2 linked regions of the Astyanax mexicanus genome follow. The protein of the gene in region 1 purifies or fractionates together with the protein of each later gene. This does not show direct contact. Links are inferred from orthologs where the notes say so. Each region holds a gene or a part of one and is shown on either strand. Other genes may lie near its edges. The genes, in order: npm3 and nepro.

The links.
Region 2: the proteins of npm3 (region 1) and nepro purify together in Homo sapiens (affinity purification with mass spectrometry; 4 studies listed by BioGRID and IntAct, with this or other methods). This does not show direct contact. The link is inferred for Astyanax mexicanus from reciprocal best matches to the Homo sapiens genes NPM3 and RMP64.

The regions. Positions count from the first base shown.
Region 1 is NC_064414.1:23,214,423-23,226,300, reverse strand, and holds npm3 (nucleoplasmin-3), read left to right. Parts: upstream 1-7,182; 5' UTR 7,183-7,309; coding exon 7,310-7,382; intron 7,383-7,810; coding exon 7,811-7,896; intron 7,897-8,000; coding exon 8,001-8,120; intron 8,121-9,821; coding exon 9,822-9,915; intron 9,916-10,790; coding exon 10,791-10,891; 3' UTR 10,892-11,692; downstream 11,693-11,878. Other genes in the region: oga (protein O-GlcNAcase), read left to right, coding at 609-713, 1,229-1,320, 1,853-2,045, 2,183-2,342, 3,130-3,266. UniProt on the Homo sapiens protein: Plays a role in the regulation of diverse cellular processes such as ribosome biogenesis, chromatin remodeling or protein chaperoning. Modulates the histone chaperone function and the RNA-binding activity of nucleolar phosphoprotein B23/NPM.
Region 2 is NC_064418.1:10,449,094-10,461,047, reverse strand, and holds the start of nepro (nucleolus and neural progenitor protein), read left to right. Parts: upstream 1-5,954; 5' UTR 5,955-6,152; coding exon 6,153-6,237; intron 6,238-6,427; coding exon 6,428-6,582; intron 6,583-7,273; coding exon 7,274-7,362; intron 7,363-8,300; coding exon 8,301-8,429; intron 8,430-9,225; coding exon 9,226-9,303; intron 9,304-9,980; coding exon 9,981-10,336; intron 10,337-11,228; coding exon 11,229-11,284; intron 11,285-11,387; coding exon 11,388-11,635; intron 11,636-11,886; coding exon 11,887-11,954. Other genes in the region: tex30 (testis-expressed protein 30), read left to right, coding at 2,669-2,902, 2,983-3,034, 3,784-3,995, 4,309-4,467. UniProt on the Homo sapiens protein: May play a role in cortex development as part of the Notch signaling pathway. Downstream of Notch may repress the expression of proneural genes and inhibit neuronal differentiation thereby maintaining neural progenitors.

The sequences.
Region 1 (11,878 bases):
CATGTGCGCCTGCGAGTTCGCCTGCTGCAAAGCTCCATGAACAAATGCTTTATCTAAATGCTAAAAATAAATGTTTAATGTCTGTGAACTGATTAGATGCTTGATGTACAGTTTATACAGTTACTCACTGAATAGAACTAATTATCCTTAATATTTGGTCATGGAGTTTTGATGTATGTGTACCAGCATCATTCCTTTTCTCTACAGGAAATGCGCAGCGAACATTTGCGATGCCTTACTATGGGAAAGGGCATCTCCTTTAGCCAGTTAAAGCCTTTCTCAGACCAAGCCTGCAGACAATTTTCCCTCGTGTATTTGGTTTGTATTCTTTTAAAAAAAGAGAGAGAGAGAGAAAAGGAAAATGCACACAAAAGGGATTTTACGTTGTTGTGCTGTTTACCTGCTCTTGCTGAATACCACCCAGTCAAATGGCCATTAAAGCTCCATTGTAAAATCTTTCCACTGAGGCCAGGGTTTGGCTGAGCTTTGCGCTTGTGTGTCGGGTAGGTTCAGCAGGGGCAGAGAAACTCTTAAGTATAAGTGTGAATAAAGAGCTGCTCAGTTACATGCTGGGAAAGTACTGAATGTGTTTGCATTGGTTTCCACAGCGACTGTTGCCAATAGATGGGGCAAACGATCTTTTCTTCCAGCCACCACCCTCAATGCCAACTTCAAAAATGTATTCCATAAGGCCTTACTATCCCAAAGATGAGGTAAGTATTGATGTGATTATAAAGCTGAGTGGTTCAGTTTTTGTTAGTTTAGTATAAGCAAGACACTCACATTATTAGGTTATCATGTGCTATTTCATTGTTTTCTAATTATGCCTTGCAATAGTTTGCATGGTACCTTGTGTGGAAATGCGTTTGTTTAGAAGAGTGTCTTATCTGGGATTAGCACAAGTACATTACCAAAGTACCAAATTTCACTTCCTCTAAAGTTGTTTAATTAACTAGATCTGCCTACAGAAAATTGTAAATCCATGCTCAAATATGTGTTAATTTTAAAAAGCTCCTGGTATTTCTATGTAAAGAGCCCCAGATTAAATCATGTTTCAAGGCTAATTTGCAGCAAATGGGATCCATTCTGCTGAATCAGCTGTTTGGTCCACTTGTTACCCTTCAGATGCCATGATCTAAAATGAAAGCAAATAAGGGTTCTTCCACATGCCATTTCTCTCTTTCTCTGCCTTGTTGAATGTGTGATTGTATTGTGTCTGTTTTTTTAGACTGCTGTCTACAAGATTTGCAAAGAAATGTATACAGAGGGATGTAATGACCTTCCTTTCTCTGACCAGGAGCCAGACCTGATTGGAGACAGGTACCAAAATGAATGTGGATAGTTTAAAGTGCGTTATATGACCACTATAAAATAATGATGCTGTATGCCTGAAAATATTCGGATACAGCCATAACTAGACTCTTCCTGCATTGCACACATTGTATAATCTGTGTAGAAAGTTGCAGCACTTCTAATATGCATGAGACACTTATGGCTAGATTTCTGGACAGTGATTAAGCCTAGTCCTTGACAAATGTTCCTTTTAGTGGGAGAACTCCATTCAAAATGCTGTGTAGTCCAAGACTAGACTCAATGCCAGTCTGTGAAACTGCTCTTTTTCTCCACTAAATGTAAGCTAATTTGATGTGATTGAGTACCATTGGAGACATAGTGAGATTTTTACATTGATTAGTGTTTGTAACTCAGCAGTGTTGCCACCTGTGAGTAGAGATCTGTGTACCGGCTTTAGGGTGGGAAAGCAGTGTGCCTAGATAACATTTACTGTACTCCCCCACTGTGTTTAACATGGTATGAGTTCTGCAGTGCCTTACATAGTCACTGTCTCCTGTAGGTTAGTAGGAGGGTTTCTGACACTCAGCCCAGACTATGGCTTCGTCTTGGAAGATGAGGATGGAATCTGTGGCTATGCCCTGGGCACTGTTGATGTTCAGCCCTTTGTAACGAAGTGCAAAATGAGCTGGATTCCATTCATGCAAGAAAAATATAACAAACCTGACTTAGAGAAGGACCTGTCTGAGGCAGAGGTAGGATTCACTCCTCTATATTCATGTCTTCATTAGGATTCACTCCTTTATATTCATGTCTTCATTATTTATCCAGTCTTCTAAAATGTCTGACCAGTCGTTTGTCTTCTAAAATGTATGACCCCTTCCCTCTGCAGAAGATGATGCTAAGCTTCCATGAAGAGGAGGAGGTTTTGCCTGAATCATTCCTCAGTAATTTCCCCTCCCTCATAAAGGTGGACATTCAAACAAAAGTCACTGACCCCAGTGTAGCCAAAAGCATGATGGGTTGTCTCCTCTCGTCTTTAAAAGCCAACGGTATGTGCAGGATTCTATTTTTGTCACAGATTCACAAACATACATATACTATTGCATCTAAAAAAATAGAAAATATTATACTTTTGGCTGTGTGGGCAGTGTGCCAAGTCCTGCTGGAAAATGAATTCCGCATCTCCATAAAAGTTTTCAGCAGAGGGAAGCATGAAGTGCTGTGTTTTTGGGAAAACACTGCACTGACTTTGGACTTGATATAACACAGTGGATCAACACCAGCAGATCACATGACTCTCCAAACCATCACTGATCGTCAGTAAATTTTAATTTTGTTTGGAAATCAAGGGACCAGAGTCTGAAGGAAGACACAGTCCAGTCTCAAGCTGTTTGAGGTCTAGTGTGATGTTTCTACAATGGTTTGTGCTGGTGTTGGTTCACTGTGTTATATCGAATACAACATTTAAATGATATTCTAATTTTTTGAGATGCACTAGTATGTAGCAAGTTTAACAAGTATAGCTTTAGGGACAAAACTGAACTGGTTGCATAATTTAGAAAACAATTTTCTGATTACAAAAATTAAAAGAAAAGGTGATTTAAGCTTAAACTAAGCTGAACCTTTTCAGTTTTATATATGTGCCCTTCTCCCCTGTAGACTAGACAAATACAGTAAAAGACAGTAGTGATCTGGTATGATTTCTAAATTTTAAAAAAGCTGATATTGTTCAGAAAGATTAATAGCCTTAAAGCTATTATAGAAGTTTAAAATCTATTATCACTTGTTTGAATGACTTTGTTCTCCTGATAATTTTACTGCACTTTTCTGTGTTAGGCTCCCATGGTGCCTTCTGTGAGGTCCGGCAAATTGACAAACGGATGTTGGACTTTTATGGCAAACTTGGCTGCTTTGAAGTGGCCAAAATGGAGGGCTTTCCAAAAGATGTCATCATAATGGGGAGGAGCTTGTGAAGGGTTGGAAGACTTTTGAAGAATTTTGGAAGAACTTGTACAAAGCTGCAGTGGTCTGTGTAGAAGGCTCAGAGTGCATTTCAGTCATGTTCAAGTAACAATCAGTGATCCATTTTGTAAATCTTTGTTGCACCCATTGCAGGCTGCTGTTCTAGCTTTATTCTGCAAAGTGTTTTTTTACAGAAACTGCTGGAGACACTTGTATAATATAAGGTGCTTCTCTTAGATATTGTGCTTTTGCCAATCAGAGGTGGCGTGCAAGAATATGTGTGAGTGCTTGTATTGCCTTTTCAATGAGACCCTCCTCTGGTCTGCAAGACAGCTTGAGCTGGCCAGGTGTCATTTTAGCCCATTACACCTCTCAAATGCAGCTGGTAGGCAGTCACTCACATTCGGTACACTGCAAAATTCAGTGAGTGGACTTAGACACAATCAACAGCCTAAAGCTACAATAACTTAAGAACAAATAAGTTTATCTACATTCATTTTGCCTCTCCGCTCCTGTGCTTTAATGCCTATCCAGTGGTAGATCATTATGCAGGCTGAACCACTGCTTTTTGTTGATGTTTTGCAGTTCTCCAGATACAAAATGATAACAAAACAGTGGAGTGAACTCAGCAATTTAACAGATTGGGTGTGTCTTTGTTCTCGAAGAAGGATTTTATTGTGTGGCATGATGGCTTGAAGAAAAAGTATACAAGGAACCTGAAACTGTAAGGGAACAACAGTGGAGAGGAGAGACCCTTGTCCTTAAAATTGCATGGATATTACTTTTGTGCATAAGCTAGTAGCATGTGTATCTTGATGATACATTTTTGTGATTTGTACAGCGATGCCTTCCTGTCTGTGGCCTTCTTTCGAGGCTCCGCCACCCTTCCCTGCAACCCCTTTGAGATATTGAGATCTGATCTGTTCCACACGTCTTCGAGTTTGTGTTCATTATATTTTGTGGAGATAAACCATGGTTAGATAACCGTTCATACATTTGAAGTTTTTGGCTGGAGGTTTTTAATTTTTGTCATGAGAATGTCCACCAAGATATCTGACCATGGCAAGGCAAGTCCTAATGTATAATGACAGTAAAGCAATATTTGACAAGAAAATATATTGACACTGAGATGGCAGTGTTTTTGTTTCCATGCCCTAAAATTTTTACATATTTTTCTAAGGTTAAAGTAGGTGTCAGCTCATCTTTTTTTTGTTTTAACTGGTATAAACTCGTTTACCAACAGATCATGGACAGATAACTAGTCTAAATACTCATTGGCATAAATTGGACATTTTGGCACAAATATGCTCCAAATATGTAAAGATCTCCCAAATAAGAGTTTTTGTAGTCTCTAGCAACTGCAATGACAAATGCACATCGTTTTCAGCCTTCAATAATAAAAAAAAACTCTAGGAACGAAAAGGTATTTTTCCCTCCACTTGTTCTCTTTTGGCCAACCATGGGGAGCTTGACCTTGCACGGCCATGATTTCTTATGGTTTTTATTTCACCATGCCTGCTATTTTGTTCTGGAAGTTGACATCATATTCAAGTAGAAAGGGCTTCATTTTTTGAGAGTCTAAATACAATTAACAATTTAAAAACATTTCTGTACTTTGGGTTGTAATTATGATAATGTATGTAATGTAGTTATTATACTTTCTGTAAGGTTTGTATGTAATTAAAATGGTTAATTACAATAAAGTATGTTAAATAGATTTTCTTTGTTGCTGTTTTTCTTCTATAACTTCAGCCAAATTAATTATGATTTGTGTTTCTATTGCTAAGTTACCCTTCTATTTTGGATTAACTATCTCTATCTAAAGTTTTAGGAGACTATGAAGCATTGTTGTAAATACTTGAAGGCATTCAGCAATAATAAGGTTAACAAGGGCAGGGTGCTTGATGATTACTACCCCACTTAATCACAGCTCTACAACTCAATGCTGAAGGCTCTATACCCATAGTCTCCCAAAGTTATATTTGCAAAACCTCTCTTTACAGATAGTAGATGAGCACTACATGTGTCTTTGCACATCGGTGTCTGCAGAGGTTGCTAGCAACTTAATATTGCTCAATGCATTCATTAAAATAGATATCCACAGATGTCTATGTAACCTTTCACGCATTAATTGCTGGTCCTTTTATTCAGAATTTAGACTGTTTGCAGTGCTGAAATTACACTGATTGCTGTCAGTGCACTATGGCATGCTGCTTTTTCCAGGCAGATCAAGCCCTTTAGTGAAAATAGGAATTCAATATGCCAGATCTGGTTTGCCCACACTGAGCCTAACGCTACTCCAAATATATATATATATTTATAGATATATATTAAATATTTTAAATAGTTCATACTTTTCATATATACACATTATTTAGAAATAATTCACCAAATCAACACTAGCACTAGGTTTGTAGTTACTTCTATTTATCTATTTTATTAACTAGTAGCAGCTACTATTTCCAACACGGTGAGTTGCTTTTAATTAATGATGCAGTTGAAACTAAAAGGACAGACTTCTTCAAATCTGTCCACAAAAGTAGGACGACAGACTCTTCCCTCTGATTGACCATTTAAGCTGGAACAGTAAAGCTACTAAAATGAACTACTAGCCATTTCTTATGCTTATTAAGAAAATGGCCATAAAACGCTGAAACTACAAAGGACACTACAATAATATATAAGTTATTGTCATTTATGACAAGAAAAATACATTTGTGGGTTTCTTTGGTCGCTTGTGCCGCCATCTTGCTAGTGATTCTCACAACCCTCAGTTTAGAGTGTGCCTCTGAAAAGACTCTGTTTGAAGGATCATGTTGCTCTAACACTTCCCCCTACCTACCCAGCCTAACAAGAATCAGGACACCAGGCGGTAAAATGGAATTGGGCATTGGGCTGGGTGATTTGCCTTTCAAATTGAAGAGAAAATTGATTAAAATTAGAAATAAATTGGACAAATATTTAACACACAAAAGATAAATTGTGACCGTACTTCATTTCTCTGTTTATATGTGTGGCCAAGACTAGCATGTCGTGACCCAAATTACATAAATATACATACATAATTGCCAAACCATAAAATAGAAATAAAGTTTAAAGAGTTTAAAAGGGAAACAAATATTGTTCTGTAATTACATACTTTTGTATTGTTTTATTATTATTGACTTATTAGTGATTAGTAATTTTGGTATAATTAACAAACAATAAAATAGAAATTTTATCATTTAATAGGACAGAAAATTAATTGTTCTATAAAAAATTACAGACTAGTTTATTGGTTAATAGTTTTATTGTTAGTGGCTCTAACCTGATTTCAGATTTTTACATTTTGTCATTTATTTAAATATTTGACAAATTATAAAATAAAAATAAAGTAGGATTTAAAAGGAAATAAAGTTAATTGTTATGTACTTACGACTTGTCTATTATTATTTTTTATAATTAGTGACCTGATTTCAGACCTAGTGGGGAATGGCTTTAATATTTCACAAGATCATTTTTATATAATTAACAAACCATAAAATAGAATTGTTCTGTAAAAAATCAGACATGTTTTGGTTTTATTATCAGTGATTCTGACATGATTTCAGACCTGGTGGGGAATGGCTTTAATATATCAAAATATCTTTTTGATATAATTAACAACCATTACATAGAAATAAAGTAGAATTGTTCTGTAAAAATTCAGACTTGTGCATTGTTTATTGTTTTATTCTTAGTGACTCTGACCTGATTTGGAATTGCTTCAATAGATCAAAAGATCAAAAATCAAGATTGTTTTTGAAGCTGTAATAAAACTATTAAAAGATATACATAAAAAACAAAACATGAATGGCTGACAAAATAAAAGTCCTTAAAGGTTTACAGAACGACTTACCCATTTAGAAAAAAATAAAAGAAACTAAAATATCACGAAAAGCTTGTTGTCTGTGACGTCATCACCCCTGCGCCGTGTCTAGTGTAGCTCGTCACATGTTTTGAAGCCTCTCTGTCTCTGTCTGTGCTGCTCATAATTCAGTCTCAGTTCAGCGTTTTCTCGGAATATTGTGGGGAAATGTCGTTTTTAGAGGACGAAAGCTCAGACGGCGGCGCCGGGGCCCGCGCGCAGCTAGAGAGCTATGTTTTTAGTAAGCCGAGTTTCTGTTGTTTACAGACAGTATTTCCTAAGCGTTAGCTTTCTGGCTAACACACGTGGAGGAATGTTGCGCTTAAAGCAGCTGGACTGAAATTCACACATTCATTCAGTGCGGGCTGGAAAAAAGCCTCTTGCAAACAATACTGCTAAAACATTTTAGCTGTTGATGGCTCTACTTTAATGGTGGAGAAGAGGAATAAAAATTTAGTTTTTTTTACTGGAAGAGTATAAATACTTCAGCATAGCGCGATACAGTGGCCATTATGTTACACGGCCGGTTAAAGTTACATGGCACCTAGTTTGGCTCAGCATATATAACCTAGACAGGTTAGCTACGCTAAATCAATGCAACATTACTAAAACGTAAAATGCCTACTTTATTATAAATCTAAGTAATAAATGTTTCTGTTTGTCCTGAAGGCTGTGAATTATCCTCTGAAGTACCGTTCTACACTTTTCAAGGGGATGAGGAGGAGGACCTGGAGCATTTTCTCGAGCTCAGGACGGTTTGTAATAACTTTAGTTTAAAATTCAGTTTAGGAGCAGTAAGTTGGTTAGTTGGTAACTCTGTGTGTTCAGATGTTCTCACTTTATGTGTAAACTCCTCTAGATCTGCCTCGGTGAGGGAGCTAAGGAGGAGAATAACGTGGTGGAAGTCACTGCTATGAACCATCAAGGAAAGAAAATATCAGTGCCTGTAGCAAATCTCCACATATCCTGTCTTCCCATGGTAAAGAGTTTCTTAATCATTTTACATTTCACTATTTAAGTTTATAAAAAAAAAAAATCAGCACCTCTTAGTTCATTTCATTTGTTTTGTTTTCTTTGATTTTTTTTTTTTTAATCTAGAGCTGTACAAATCTGGGATACAGGTAGCTTCTCTAATAATAATAGTAGTTGTAGTAGTAAAAATAATATTAATAATAATTACAATAATAGCAACAACAGTTGTCGATGACGATATGATTATTATTATTATTATGAACATTTGTTATTATTGTTACAAAAATTGTAATCATAGTTGAGAAGCTAGCATAGTGGAAAGTGAGTAGCCTGATATCTGAGAACCTGATGGTGCAGAGGGGATCATGAAGGGCTTTGATGCTTAATACATACATTGTATATTGCTGAATATATATATATATATATATATATATATATATATATATATATATATATATATATATATCATTTTTTTACTTACTTAAGGTATTGACAAAGACAATTAGTGATAACAAAGCTATGTGTTCCAGATTTTACACAGCCACTTTTATCATTTAGTGACACATCCTGTAAAAAAGTTCTAGCAGCTCTTTAATTTTTTTCACTTAATGTAGCCTAAAAATAAGGGACACACAATGCAGTGTGCATATAAAATGCTTAAATAGGTAAATAAAAACAACAGTTTGAGGTTATTTTTTCATTTACTTAAAATCTGGACTGAATCTGTGTCAGATTTATTCTCTTATGTGAAGGACCTGATTGGTGAGCCCTCAGTTCAGGATAGAGTGGGTGTGTCTACTTGGTGTTTGGTTCAGTAGTGAAGCTTCACACTTTTGCTGTTTCACTAAAAAGTCAGGTTCAGCCATCACTCTGTTTTATTAAAAGCATGCTGTCTGAATGAGCTTGTTTGTTTTCAAGAGACAAGAGAGGATCTAGTTGGAATGCAGCGTAATCTATATCGATTGAATCAATCTAGTCTTATTCTATATCTTGTATAAAAATGTCTTTCTTTAAAACTCAATAGGTCACCCAGCTCTTATTCATAGTTTTAGTTATTATTTGCATGTTACCATAGCCAGTTTTGTTCTTGGTATCATGGAGAGATTAGCTCAGCCAAGACTACAGACAAAGACAAAGTCCTCCTGTAATCAGCTCTTGATTGACTAGGTCTTGCTCTTGGGCCCAACAGTGGCAGCATTAGTAACTATGTGCTCTCATTGCTATGCCTTTTTTTAAATACACATGTGTATTTAAATACAACTGTCAAGATCCAAAATTAATTTAGGCAAATGAATCTAATTGGTTTATGAGGCTTCTAGTGTGAACGTAGTCATGTTCAGTTTTTTAGGTTTATTTTAGAAACCAAAATATCTTGTTGTATAGCAAATACAAAGTAACTGACCATGCCACTCATTCATATGACTCTATCTTCCAGCAAAAAAACTCTGAATAAAGTCATGTTATTACTCATAATGTACTGTATGAGTATCAGTAAATGTGACTCACTTTTCCTGAAGGTGGTCTTCTGTTCTTCTGTGCTGTTGGATTATTTAAATCACTGAAATGACAAAAACAGATTTAATGAATACATTTTTACCCATATGGAGCAACTTTTTAAAAAATCTTTTTGTACTTCTGTAAAGTGTAGAATGTCTTAGGTTTTTGATGTTTTGATACTTACGCTATTTATACTATATATTTCTTTCAGGTTAGCTTGGGAGAATTTGAGTTGATGGCTCCTGTGACACTTCGCCTAAAATCTGGAAGTGGGCCTGTGACTGTTAGTGGACTGCACCTTGTAGGTGAGTGAAGGGGGGTGGGGGACACTTGAGGCCCATTCCATTTCCATTCCATTACCACTTAGCTTTGCATGTGCATCTCTGGGTTAGGGTGTCCCGATTCTTGTTATGTTAGAGTGGTAGAGGGAAGTGTTGGGGCTGCATGACCCTTCAAACTGAGTTTTTTTCTAGATGTTTGGAGGCACACTTCAAACAAAGGGGCTGAGAATTGCTGGTAAGATGGCAGCACAAGAGACCAAAGAAACACAAATTTAAGTATTTTATTTGTTAAAAATTATGATAACCATTATATTATTGTAGTTTTAGTGTGTAGTTTTAATATTTATCTCAGTAGCTTGCTAGCTAATGTTCCTGTTCCACCTTAAATGGTGCAACAGATGGCAGAGGCTGCAGCATTGAAGGTGAAATGGGGTTTAAAAAAAAAGTTAATAAAAGCTAATTTCAGCTCAGTTAATAAAAGCTTATTAACAGAGGAATTAAGGAATGGGCAATAATAATTAATTGCTGCACCACCTGTCCACTTTCTGAGGATATACACACAATAAGTTAACTAGCAGCTAAGTTGCTGAACTTTTTCCCTCCCTTTGATATATCTGTATTGGGTACTTGAAGAGTTGTCCCAATTCTTAGGGGGAGGATTTCCCCCCTTCCCCTTGAAACTCTGTTCTAAAGGGTTAACTCGAAAACAAGGGGTAGGGGTACAAAAGAGAAATGGGCCTTCCTTTCTTTTAGATTTCAAATATCACAGTTACAAAACAGGAAATGTATTCCTCTTAAATAGATAATGGATACATTTAGAAAATAACACAGTGTGAAATAAATAGCTCTGGCAAGTAAACAAGCACTGTTTTAACAATGTAATCTCTCATCTTTCTTAGCTTCAGAAAATGATGAGGAGGCGGAAGCGTCTGATGAAGATGAGGATTCTGTGGAGGAAATGCCCTCTATTAAGCCAGCCAAGAAGAAACAGAAACTGTAGATTCACCTTTTATGAAGATCATGAAGTTTTATAGAACATGCTATTCAATAAACTGTTTCCACTCACAGTTACAATGGACAGCAGAACCGAAATCTGAGGCTTGGATCTTTTTGTCAGTTTTGACAAATATTGGAAATTGAGACTCATTATAACCAGCTGTGATTCCTTTGGTCAAAAATATTTTTATTATGTAATATTTTGGAGTTTAGTTTCAAAATATCGTTATTGCCATGTTTGTGTTTGGAGTCACTAATTAAAGTTCTCAAGTTTAGTATACAGTAGAGATTCCTTATCCTAGCATGCTTTATAAATTCAGTTTAATTCTTTGCCTTGTTTTTTCCCAAAAAAAGAACAGCCACAACAAATTCTACATTTGTGCATAAAATATTTTGGAATACGATTTTACTGCATTGTGTATTTGTTTACTTTTTTGAGGGACTGTCATGTTAAAAGTAATGTTTTGTGTATTTTTTGGTTCACCACTAGTCACCAACCAAGGTGCACAATACTCTGTTCACCATGGTACATTCCACCTGTGCTACTGTTTTGTAATTACTCACTTTACAAGTTTAAATAGGAAAAAAACTTCTTATTGTATCTTTTATAGTCGGGCACTCTGTTTTTGCCTTAAATGGAGTCACCAGCAGTGATTTCTGCAGTTGTGCATGCATGGCTTAGTTTTTAGTTCTTTTGAAAGGCTGATGTGGAGGATGGGTTTTGAATGGAGCATTTTTATTGTATTATTTCTTTTTTTTATTTTACATTTATAGATTTTATGAATAAATCTCTCTCTGTTTACCAGTCTTGGAGCAACCCATTATTTGTGCAGCTTGGAAATTCTTGGACGATTGTTGTTCTGGAATAGTACTGTTAGATCTTTGGCCATTTGAAACTGCCTCGGAATTCTTAAAAAGATAAACTGATTCTCTGCTTGTTTTAACTCAAAATAAAGACAGATGGTGAGGTTCTAATCTAAGTGAAGGGGTT
Region 2 (11,954 bases), on another chromosome or scaffold:
GGGCTGAATTTATTGACCAGCTGTTTAGTGTTTCCCAACCAGGATCTGGAGAGCCCTATCCTGCACTGTTTACAGTTCTGTATGATAAACTGTTTTCTCTCAGAGTCACAATAAATAAATTTAATCTTGTTAAAATTAACCTGGTTTAAAAAAAACTTACTGTAGAGAAATGACAAGTAAATCTATGGAAGCCCATTTCCGCCACCTGAAGAAAAAAAACGTCCTCAACTAAGTCATAATTATGAGATAAAACTTTCTATCTCATAATTATGACTTTCTATCTCATAATTATGACTTTCTATCTCATAATTATGACTTAGTATCTCAAAATTATGACTTCTCTATCTCATAATTATGACTTACTATCCCATAATTATGACTTTAGGACGTTTTTTTTTCTTCAGGTGGCGGAAATGGGCTTCCATATAAATCAGTCATTTCACCTTAACATCTTCCCTGTATATACAGTAACAGTTACCAGTCAAAAGTTTCTAAACACATCTTTCATTGTGTTTTTTTTTTCTTTTTAGGTTTTTATACTTTGTAAATGTAGTATTGTAGACTATATTAAAGATCTACAGGATCACATGCAGAATCATTCTGTAAACAAAACAAAGTGTTAAACACACCAGGATATGTTTTATACTTTATATTCTTTTAAAAGAGTACCACATTTAGCTTTGAGAATAGATCTGCACACTGGTACATTGGTATTTTAATCTCAGTGTCTTCATGAGGGAGAGTCACTTGGAATAGTTTTCTTAGTCTTGAAGGAGTTCCTGGAGGTGCTGAACAATATATTTGCTGCTTTTCCTTTACACTGTGAAGCTTCAGCTCATCCCAAATCACCTCAAATCACCATCTCAGTTGATCAGGTTAAGATCAGGGGATTGTGGAGGTCTAACTTTTTTTTTTTTTTTTACTATTTACTGTGTAATTCCATATGTGTCCCTTAATTGTTTTCATGTCTTTCTATTAATCTACAATATAGAAAAGAAATTACAAAAAAAGAAAGAAAGAAAGAAAAACACTGAATGAGAAGGTGTGTCCAAACCTTTGACTTGGAGGATGTATTTCTTTGACTTTATTCTGTCTTTATTAAATGCAACATTTACAAGGAGCTGAGATTGTATTGTTACAGTGGTGGTGAAGATTTATAAGATGATGTCTAAATGTTTAATGTGTTGTTCACAAAGTCATTTTACAAATTGTTCTGGTTAAATATGACATTTCGGTTTTAAAACCATGCAAAACATATAGGGGCAAAAATAATCCTCGTAAAAATTTGCCACTAATTCACCTTCATCACTATTTTAAGATGTGTAGTTTTATAGGTGGGTTAGTTAATAAAATTGCTATATTTGCTTTGTAAACATAATATATATATCCAGGTTTGTGTCTTCACTAATATAAAGAAATTGAGTGATTATAAATCAAGCACAAACACGCTGTAATTCCTCTGTAATCTTTACTGTTTTGCTTCCTAATGGGAACTGTCTTATAATGATTACCATCAACAGCTACTTTAACAAAGGCCTTTAAGTTCCCATAAGGAAACGCATCATATCTGTCTATAACCAGTCAAAGGTCACATGTTTAACCCTTTGTTTTATTTACATTGTTATATCAACCCATCAAGAAAAGGAGCAATGACATAACAAACTTTTGTACTAGTGCTAGGAGGTTAATCAAATTAATTTGATTAATCAAACTACTGTATTAATGCACTTTTCAAAATGGGATAATCAATATTGTACATCTTTACATATAAAAGCTGACAGAGAGAGTTTCTGTCACAAACAGTAAATAGTAACAACCAATTAGGGCTGCAAACATTTTTCAATATAATTAACAATGTTGATTATTTGAATTTGTCAGCTACAAATTTAATTGTCGACTAATTGTTCATTTGTAACTATAACGCATTACACAAAGTGATGGGGACATAAGCTCAATGGGAGATGGGTAAATGGCTCACTCACACAGGTTACACTCAACTTAGTTTGTGTCCAAAACTCAACAGATATTTAATCCCTGAATATCAGTATTTTTCGCATTTAAACAACATCTAGACATTAAATTGCCTCTCAAGTCTCATGTTCAGCTGTTTCTATCGTTTTTAGATGTGGAGGACTTTGCAGAAATAGTCATTGACTAATCGAAAAAATAATCATCAGATTAGTCTACTACCAAAATAATCATTAGTTGCAGCTCTACAAACAATATTTATCACAATACAGGGTGTATAATTAAATATATCACAATATATTGTGAAAACATAAGCAGTGTGATATATTCTGATTGTTTAATATAAAATTATGGTGTCACTCTATTAACAAAATATACTAGATTAATCAAACTTTTTCTAATCAGTAAGATATGAATATATTATATTAGTTTTTATATTAGTAATAACAGTGTGGTATTCCTGGCAGACTAGAGCCTTTTTTACTTTATTACAGTAACTCATGGTTTTTAAAATAGTAGTTTTTAGTTACTGAGTTTTACCAAGCTTTTACTGCAGGAAATAAATGCTAGTGTAGTTCCAGATCCTGCGTTTCCATATATATATATATATATATATATATATATATATATATATATATATATATATATATATATATATATATATATATAGCCGTAACTTCATTTTTTTTTCTTTCTGTAGGAAAAAGTAAAAATTCCATTTGGAGCTAAGGTTCTAGATGGTATTCTGACAATTCCTGAGGTAAACAGCGTGAAGACAGGAGTTGTTCTCACACATGGAGCTGGAGGGGACATGAATCTGAAGGCCCTGCAGTCTCTGGCCAGCTGCACGGCCACCTCCGGGATCCTGTGTCTCCGGTTCACCTGTAAAGGTCTGAACCTCACCTACAGGGTCCGGGCATTCCAGGCAGCGGTAGTAAGTGGAGAACACAGTGCAGTGACAGTCATTAGCCTCGGGGTCATTGATGCTCAGCTTGCTTGGTTTTCTTTTTACAGGATTATCTGAAAACTCTGGAGAGATTCTCGCTGAGTCATGTGTTCCTGGCGGGTGAGTGATCTGTGCAGCCGCTAGAGCCTGCGGGGATAAATGTTTTACAGCAGGCGCATGTGATTTTAGTCACACATGGATAATGGATAATGGGTTGAAAAAAAAGAAGGTTGTCATAATCTTATGGTTTATTGCTGTATATCCTTTAAAGTACCTCAGGTTCTCTTATAAATGAACATTTTATTAAAAAGATCGGTACTGTAAATGTATGCCTATGTTGAGGGGTTTTGAAAGAAGAACTGTAATACATATGGTTCTCTAATAAGCATTTAGATTTCGTTTTCTAAATGTGCTCCACTGAAAATGTCTTTAAGGTTCTCTACAAAAGCTCAGCTTCAATTGTAAAGACCTTTTGGGAAACTTTAAGGAACCACTGAAAGAATCTTTAAGGAACCACTTTATGTTTTTCTGGGAAACATCTATTATGTATTCTAAAATGTATGCTTCTAAGAATGCTTGAGTTTTTAAAGAACCATTAATTAAAAGGATTTCTAAGGAACCACATTTTGTTCGCCAATAAATATTTTAAAGAGCCAAAACCTGAAATAATCAAAGAAATCAGCTTAAGGAACCACATTAAAAATGTCTTCCAGGTTCTATATAATGCTTCTACCAATGGTTCCTTAATGTGATTCTTCCATTAAAGAACCTTCCATTGAAGACTCACATTCAATAAACTCACATTTTTTTCAACTTTACATTAAAACAACACAAGGAAAAACAAAAGGAACGTGTCTGTGTTTTGTCAGGTCGTTCCATGGGTGCACGAGCTGCCGTGGCTTTGGGAAGACAGCTGAGTGCCGTGGACGAGGATGCTGTGCAAGGCCTGGTGTGTGTCTCCTTCCCTCTGCATCCTCCTGGACAAACTCATACACAGGTTAAGAGAAGTGAAGACCTCAGAGCGTTGTGTCACGTCCCGGTGCTATTCGTATCTGGAACTGCTGACAATATGTGTGAGCAGGTGAGTGTGCCTCATCGGTTTACCGGTTGTCCTTCCTTGGAGCACTTTGGATAGATCCTGACCACTGCATATCGTGAACACCCCTCAGTACTTGCCTGATGTTTTGGAGATGCTCTGAACCAGTTATGTAGACATCACATATTTGGTTTTGTCACAGGGCTTAGTATATTTTCACACCCATAACTTTTAGTCTAGTTAGTCTTGCACCATAGACAGCATAGAGAGTCTAGTAGTCTCTCACCGAGAAGCACACTACTCAAAAAGAAGCTTTTACAAAAACAGGTGTGACTATACTTTTGTTCTTGCTTGTCAGAAACTTCTGGAAAATGTTTTGAAGCAGATGAAGAGCCCCAGCTCTGTGCACTGGGTGGAGGAGGCCAATCACGGCCTGGCAGTAAAGGGAAGGAACGAGGAGTCTGTGCTGGAGGAGGTCAACTCCCAGATCATCACATGGATACAGAAGCATGTCTGAAGATGCTTTGTTATCAGGACTACTTGTTGGGTGTTTTGATACTCTTTATATTATACATCATAACTTTATACATGTATATATGGCAAAAGATGATTTGTCCAGTTTTTGTAAATAAAGCATTGTATCTGAGATGGGTCAGCCATTGTTTGCTTTGTTCAGTTCATGTTTGGCACTACAATAACATTGCTTCAGAGTGGACTACAGGACTGGACCTAGCAAACTCTCATCTTCAGCAGAAAAAGGATCCACACTTGACCCTTTTGGAAGGTTAATGACGTCTAGATCTGCTTCGAGTGGAGCAAATGTTTAACTCTGTCTTTGATTCCAACTTGTTTAAGACAAGCTGTGTGTGTGCATTTACACATCTGTGTCAGCAACAGGTGCAGTAGTTTAATGTATTTATTAGGAGGGATATCCACAAACATTTGGACATTCAGTGTATATTAGGAAACACTACATTTTGTTCAATTTCTTTAAAAAATATGGTTACAAATGAACTTTGTTTTGGAGAGTCATGTTATCTGCTGGTGTTGGTCCACTATGGTATATCAAGTCCAAAGTCAGTGCTGTGTCTACCAGCAGATTTTGCAGTAGTTCATGCTTCCCATGCTTCTACTGACAACTTTTATGGAGAAGCAGATTTCATTTTCTAGCAGAATTTGGCACACTGCCGACATTGCCAAAAGTACCAATTGGTCTTTTATTCAAAATATTTAAATTTTCAGATATTTGAGTTTTCATTGTCACTCTGTGTAATGTCTCTATATAATATGAGTTTCACATTTTTTTTTTAACTTTTTGTCTTTTATGCTCTATAGGTCCAGTCAATAACCAGAAATTGTATAAAGTACCAGAGCTTTTAAAACAATTCATGAACCATTGTAAAATATATAAATAAATATTGCAAACAATTCGTTGGTTAACAGCTAAAAGAAATAAACTGAGCTTTGGATATGGATTTTATAAAATGTCAATTTACAAAGCCTTTGTAGCAAAGCAGTATTGGAACAGATTGTGTTACTGCACTCTATACTCCAGCATTCACACTTTCATCATCATAACTATAAAAAGACACAGAAACATGGATAACCACTTCCAATCTGATCTTAAAAACAGTAAAACTAATAGAACATGAACATGCATTAAATTAAAAAGCAGTTACTGCAAATATTAGTAGAACACGTTCATTTCTCCATCCAATCATTTTTAGAAATGATATGGTAATGAAATGTAAATGCTAATTCAAAAGGCAGAAGGTTGAAGACATTATGTTGATTCAGCGTTAAAATTTCAACATTTGCACAACCATTTAACATTAAATGTTGATTCAACGTTGTTTCAACATTGAAACAACAACATACATTACGATAGACATCCCCCCCTTTAAATTTAGTGGGAAAACCGCGAACTTGGCAACTCTGGTTAGTTTGATAGGGGTGTTGAAGAGCTCTGTTGTACATTGATATTTATATGATGAAATTTGCTGTTTAAATAAAATATAATGCCTGTTTTATGTACAAAAAGTAAAATGTAGAATATAAAAATGTATAATGTATCATTTTAATAAGAAAGTCTGTGCTGTTGCCTATTCCTGAAGAAGTTTTTTCTTTAGGGGGATTCTAGTTTCGAGATCTGGCAACCCTGATGTCGTCACGCCTCTTCCCTGTTGTTACCTGTACAGAAACATGGCGGTGGATGTGTGGAATAAAGTGAATATTCCTCGGCCGAGTGTTGTTTCCACGTGTCGAATGGACTTCAGGGCTGAAACAGGTACTGTATATTTATATTTACACGGTCTTTAAAGGCTTTAGTTTAGCAGAGACTGGCCCGAACCCTCACAGTGCACGTGCTCGGGTGTTGTTTACGCTGCGCACGTGCACTGCAAGGCCAGGCTCGCGCTGAACTAAACGCAGAAGGGATTTGTGTGTAAAAGTAACGAGTGTTTTTAATCCTGATTCAGACAGAATAACAGAACGGGTAGTGTCTCACTGTGAAGATGCGCTGAAACTGCTGCGCAGTAAAGTTCTGCGGACGGAGATCCGCCTGCTGTATGAGATCCTGTACGTGGTGAACAACAGCCAGAGACAGCACAAACCCTTCAGAGCCGTTAAACAGGTCAGTAAACTTTATTATTTATGTGGCTTCATATTAAAGAAAATATGCAAAAATAAAGTTACTAAAATATACTGTAAAATATCAGGACTAGGAGAAATTGATCTGTGATTTCAGATATATCCCTTATAATACAGGTCTAAACCTAGAGTAAAATAACAATTATTATAATTTACAGGACCTTTATTTTGAAATGACACAAGTGATACAGTATTAAAAGTCATGTGTCCATGTGTGTTAATCTTATGTATGTAAATTATTATATCATATTTCTTTTTTATTTTAAATTAAAATATAAGTATTAGCCTTTTGTTTTGCATTCTACCCAATACATTAACTAATTTACTTACATACAACGTTGAAATAACGTTGATGTTATGGCAACGTTGTTTTAAGTTTATACGTTCTACCATAAAAAAAACTCTATGCCGTCATGACAAATGTACAGTTTTATTTTTATTCTCTCTCTCTGAATATACATCTCATAAAAGTAGGATCTGTAGCTACAACTAGGAACAAAAAACTACAAGTAGCTAAAACTAGAAAATCCTATGGTTAACAGAGTATTAACAGTAAACTTATCACTGTAGTAAAGCTACAGAATATAAAGCATCTGTGTGTGTGTCCGCACAATACTTATGTTGCTAAAGTAAGTAACAGCTTTGTTAATAATGGTGTGATTTGTTTGCTGCAGGTGGAACAATGCATAAACCGGCTAAACGAAATGAAACTGCAGGGGGCTCTACAAGACCTTCAGGAGCTGTGCCCCAACAAAATTCAGAGGTACAAAAGGTTTTAATAGGGAGCTTGTGCCCCTTTTTCGGTTTGAGCTGCTCCTGTGTGCCACATTGCATTGGTCAGTCATTCCAGACAAAGATATACATCATTTGTACTGGACACAGATTGAATTTGATGATTGATGAATGATGCCATACTGAGGATGTGATTATTACTCTTAAACGCGTCAGAGTGCAGTTTTAAGCAGTGATGAACAATAAACGATAACCACCATGTTTAGTGAACTTAGCTTTTATTTGAACTTTTATGTGATTTTATGTTTGACCAAGATTGAGGCACCAGACTGCAGTTTAGGGACTGTAGTAAAAATACTTAAGTATTATATAATAAGTAATGAATAAATCTGATTAATTTTCTCAAAATGTGACCAAATCAACTTATATTTATATTTTATTGTTGACAAAAGGGTGGTTTGGGTAGGACTGTTGTGAAATACAGATCTGGAAAAAAGTAAGAGACCAATTTTCTCTTTTTTTTTCTATTTATCTGTATATGTTTGAGTAAAATGAACATAATATTGTCGTTTAGAGCATTTATTAGCAGATGAGAAATGGCTGAAATAACAAAAAAAGATAATGCAAAGAAAACAAGTTTATATTCATACAACGCTTTAAGAGTTCAGAAATATTTGGTGGAATAACCCTGTTTTTAATCACAGTTTTCATGCATCTTGGCAAGTTCTCCTCCACCAATCTTACACAGTGCTTTTAGATAACTTTATGCCACTCCTGGTGCAAACATTTAAGCAGTTCAGCTTGATTTGATGGCTTGTGATCATCCATCCTTCTCTTGATTACAGAGGTTTTCAGTTTATAAAAATCAAAGAAACTCATAATTTTTAAGGGGTCTCTTATTTTTTTCCAGAGCTGTATTTGAGCCTAACTCGGTGACCAGTATTGTTCTGTCATGTGTTTTCTGTACAGGGATGTTGGGGTGGAAGTTGGAGAGTGCAGCGTGCCCAGTCAGCCCATGCTGGAGTGGTTTTGTCTCAAACTGCTGGGAGCTTCCAGTCTCCTGGCTCGAACCCTGGACCAGTGTATCAAAGCCTTCTCGTATCCTTCACTGCTTTTAGAGATAATGCAAAACAATTTACAAAAAAGATTAAATTGCATAAATAGCATGTAAACGTAGCCTTCATTCAGGATTACACATTTCTCACAAGAGGTTGTTGAACTTTTCATAAAACATCCATAAAACAATCATAAAACTACAGTCCTTGGCAGTAAAAGGTGTAAGTAATTTCGAACAGATAAAACGCAAGGGGACAACTTTATTACTGTTAGTGTTCTTTTTTTTACATTCAGAATTTGATGCATAGTCAGCATATACTCTGTGGACAAAAGAACTGGGATACCTACATAATACATCTATAGGAGCTTTTATTATATCGCTTTCTTAATCCATAGGCTTTCCTTTGCAGGTAGAACAGCTTTTTATACAAGATTATTTGAGCTGGGAATGATGTTAAACCTACACTGACAGAATTCCAATTAAATGTTAAGATAATTGTACAGTATTTCAAAACATTTCCAAAAAAAACATTTAAAAACCTTGTAGTTTCCCACAACTTGTTTGTCAGGTCTAAACATGTGTTTTTTGACGAATCTGCGACTAAATTAATGAGATACAAATGGATGCCTATTGTTTTTTTCCCCTTTACTACTATTGATGTGCAGTGTAGCCATCCTTAATTTTGAGTTGGTGAGTTAGTGAGGCTCTCTGACTTTACAAATAGGAAATCTGACTTGGAAATCAGAAATTCCACCATCCAAGATTTAAGTTTGAATAGAAAGCATCAAGTGGCTTTACTTGTGTTTATCATAAAACCTTGACTCTCTAACTGGACAGACTGACGAGGCAGCACCTACGGCTGGCTGAGTTCATTGTGTTGAACTTGGTCATTTTAAGCATGATCAGTCGACTCTGGTATGTTCAAAACTATTACTGTGTGGATTGATACACTAAAACAAGTTATTAATGCTCCATGCAAGACAATACAACTGTAGATTTATTGATTAATTCTAAATATTGTTAAAGATAAAGGGATTATTATTATTTTTGGTAACACATACAGTAACATACACACACACATACACATGGTTACAATAGATGTACATTAACAGAACTTACGACAGAATGTCTGAATTAATTATTAATGGGCACTGTCTCAGTTGTTTCATTTTATTAATATTTACTTTATCAAAATCATGTTAAAATTTGTGACATATTTTTTGGGGTGCTTTCCTTTTTGCCCTTCTTATTGTATATATAATGCTGCATAATATATTGTTTAGCATCGGCATTATCAGTGTGCACATGGGTTATAGTCACATCATGCAGTGTAACGTATGATTTTTGCAAAACAGAGAACTTGGTCAAAATCTAGGCTTAAATTTCATAGATGAAGACAAAAACCCAACAAAAAACACATGGGGAAAAAATATCTGAAAAAATGGGGGGGGGGGGATATCTGAATATCTGCAGCACTTTTTTAATATATATGAAAGATCCCAACATCACTACATGAAGTACACATGGTTTAGCGAATTAGATTTTAGAACCTCTTCTTTAGCCCACACCTCTTTTTCTTTAATGTTTTCCAGGGTGTTCTTTAGAGGTATCCTGAGAGCCCTCTTGCCCATATACAAGAGCACCATAGAGCTCCGTCAGCAGGTGGCCCAGTGTGTGCCGATGGCCTACCTGACCGATTACAACCTGCCTCAAGATCTGGAAAGCTTTCTAGGCACCTCCCATCGTGACCTGCTCAAGGTAGAGAGTACAACGTTAGCCCCCAAGACCTCTGCCCTCAACAAGCTCTTTCAAGGAGGAACAGAGGAGCAGGTGGAGGATGGAGGAGAAGAGGAAAGCCAGATGATGCAGATGCTGGCCAGAGAGGGACCGGGGAAGTCTAGCATGGATCTAGGGACGACCATTTTACGAGAAGGTCCATTTTACTCTGGTAGGTCTGCCTTGTCTGTCTTTTCACCACAGTTACACTTCTATACACTGATCATCAAAGAGGTGGTTTCATCCAGAATGGCATTTCAGATTGCAGTGTGAGACAAAAGGTTACCAGGGACAATAAATGATTAAACATTTAGACTGATATTGTCTACTCTTGAGCTGCACGTGAAGAAGTCAAGAGTAACATGTATGTAACATAACATGGCATCTGTCTCAGCATGAAGTTGTAGAGGTTCCTAATGGTGTTCTGCAATAATACATCCCATGCAACTTGACACACAGTACCTGCAGATGTTGCAGTTGGGAAGGTGTGTTGTTGGCATGTCCAATAGAATCCCACATACAGTACCAGTCAAAAGTTTGGATACACCTTTTCATTCAGTATTTCAATTTTTTTTTATTGATTTTTTCCCCCCCTACATTGTCAATAAATATTGAAATCATCCAGACTGTGAAGCAAAACATAAGGAATTATTTAATAACTTAAAAGTGTTAAACAAACCAAAATACTCTTTGAAGCATTTACATGCTCTTATCTGAGGTGCTGTTAACCTGTGCTTTCTGAGGCCAGTAACTCTGATGAACATATCCTGTGCAACAGAGGTGACTTTTGCTCTTCCTTTCCCGGGGCAGTCCTGATGTGAGCCAGTTTCATCAGAACTTTGAGTGTCTTTTTGATGGCACTTGAGGATACTTTTAAAGTTTTGGAATGTTTCTAATTGTCTAACCTTCATTTTTTTCAAGTCTTTTTTTTTTGCTTTCTTGACATAGTTCTTGCCATAATATGGATTAGAACATGACTCAAATAGGGCTATTTAATATGAATTTTAATAGTGGAGTTTTTATTGAATAATTACAGAATTTTCACTCTTCTTTCTTCTGCATAGCCTCTTCATCAGACATAAAATCCATGCTTCTGCGAACCCATGGAGTTTCCAAAGAGGTAAAAGGCTTATTCTGATAAAAAAAAAAAAAAACTTAACTTTCTGCTTACAATCCATTTAATTTCAAATTAAAGTTAAAATCACAAATTGTCCGCTTTATAGTGTGTAGCTGAAGTGTTTAAGAAGGCATCTCCAGTGGAGTCGAACATCTCAGACTTGGCATTAGTCCAGCAGAAGAGAGCATTCTTAAAGCAGCTGAGGACTGCGTCCTCTTTTACCGAGGTGGCCGTCCAGCTGAAGGAGATGATGAACTGGTGCAGGAGGTGTAAGCTGCATCAAGAGCGCCGACATCTGGCTTTCTTACTCCTCCAGTGCCGGAGGATGAATAGTTTGGATGGTGAAGGGGTTCGGTAAGTCTCTTGGTTGTTTTATTTTATTATAGTGGTCTCGAACCTTATCCTCAAAGGGCAGATGTGGCTGCAAGTTTTGATTCTAAACAACCAGCAGTACATCTGTTTTTATTTGTTTTGTCAGTCTTTAATTGGCTGATCGTGTTTGCTTATGCTTCTGCTGCTAGAAGGAAAACCAGTAGCCACACTGGCCCTGAATAACCAGCCAAATCTAACCATATTTCTGTCTATATTACTGTCTAATCCCACAGGGTGCAGAAGAAGCTGAGAAGATTGTGTCTAAGGGTCAAAAATGTGATGGTTAAAGGAACGGAAGCCT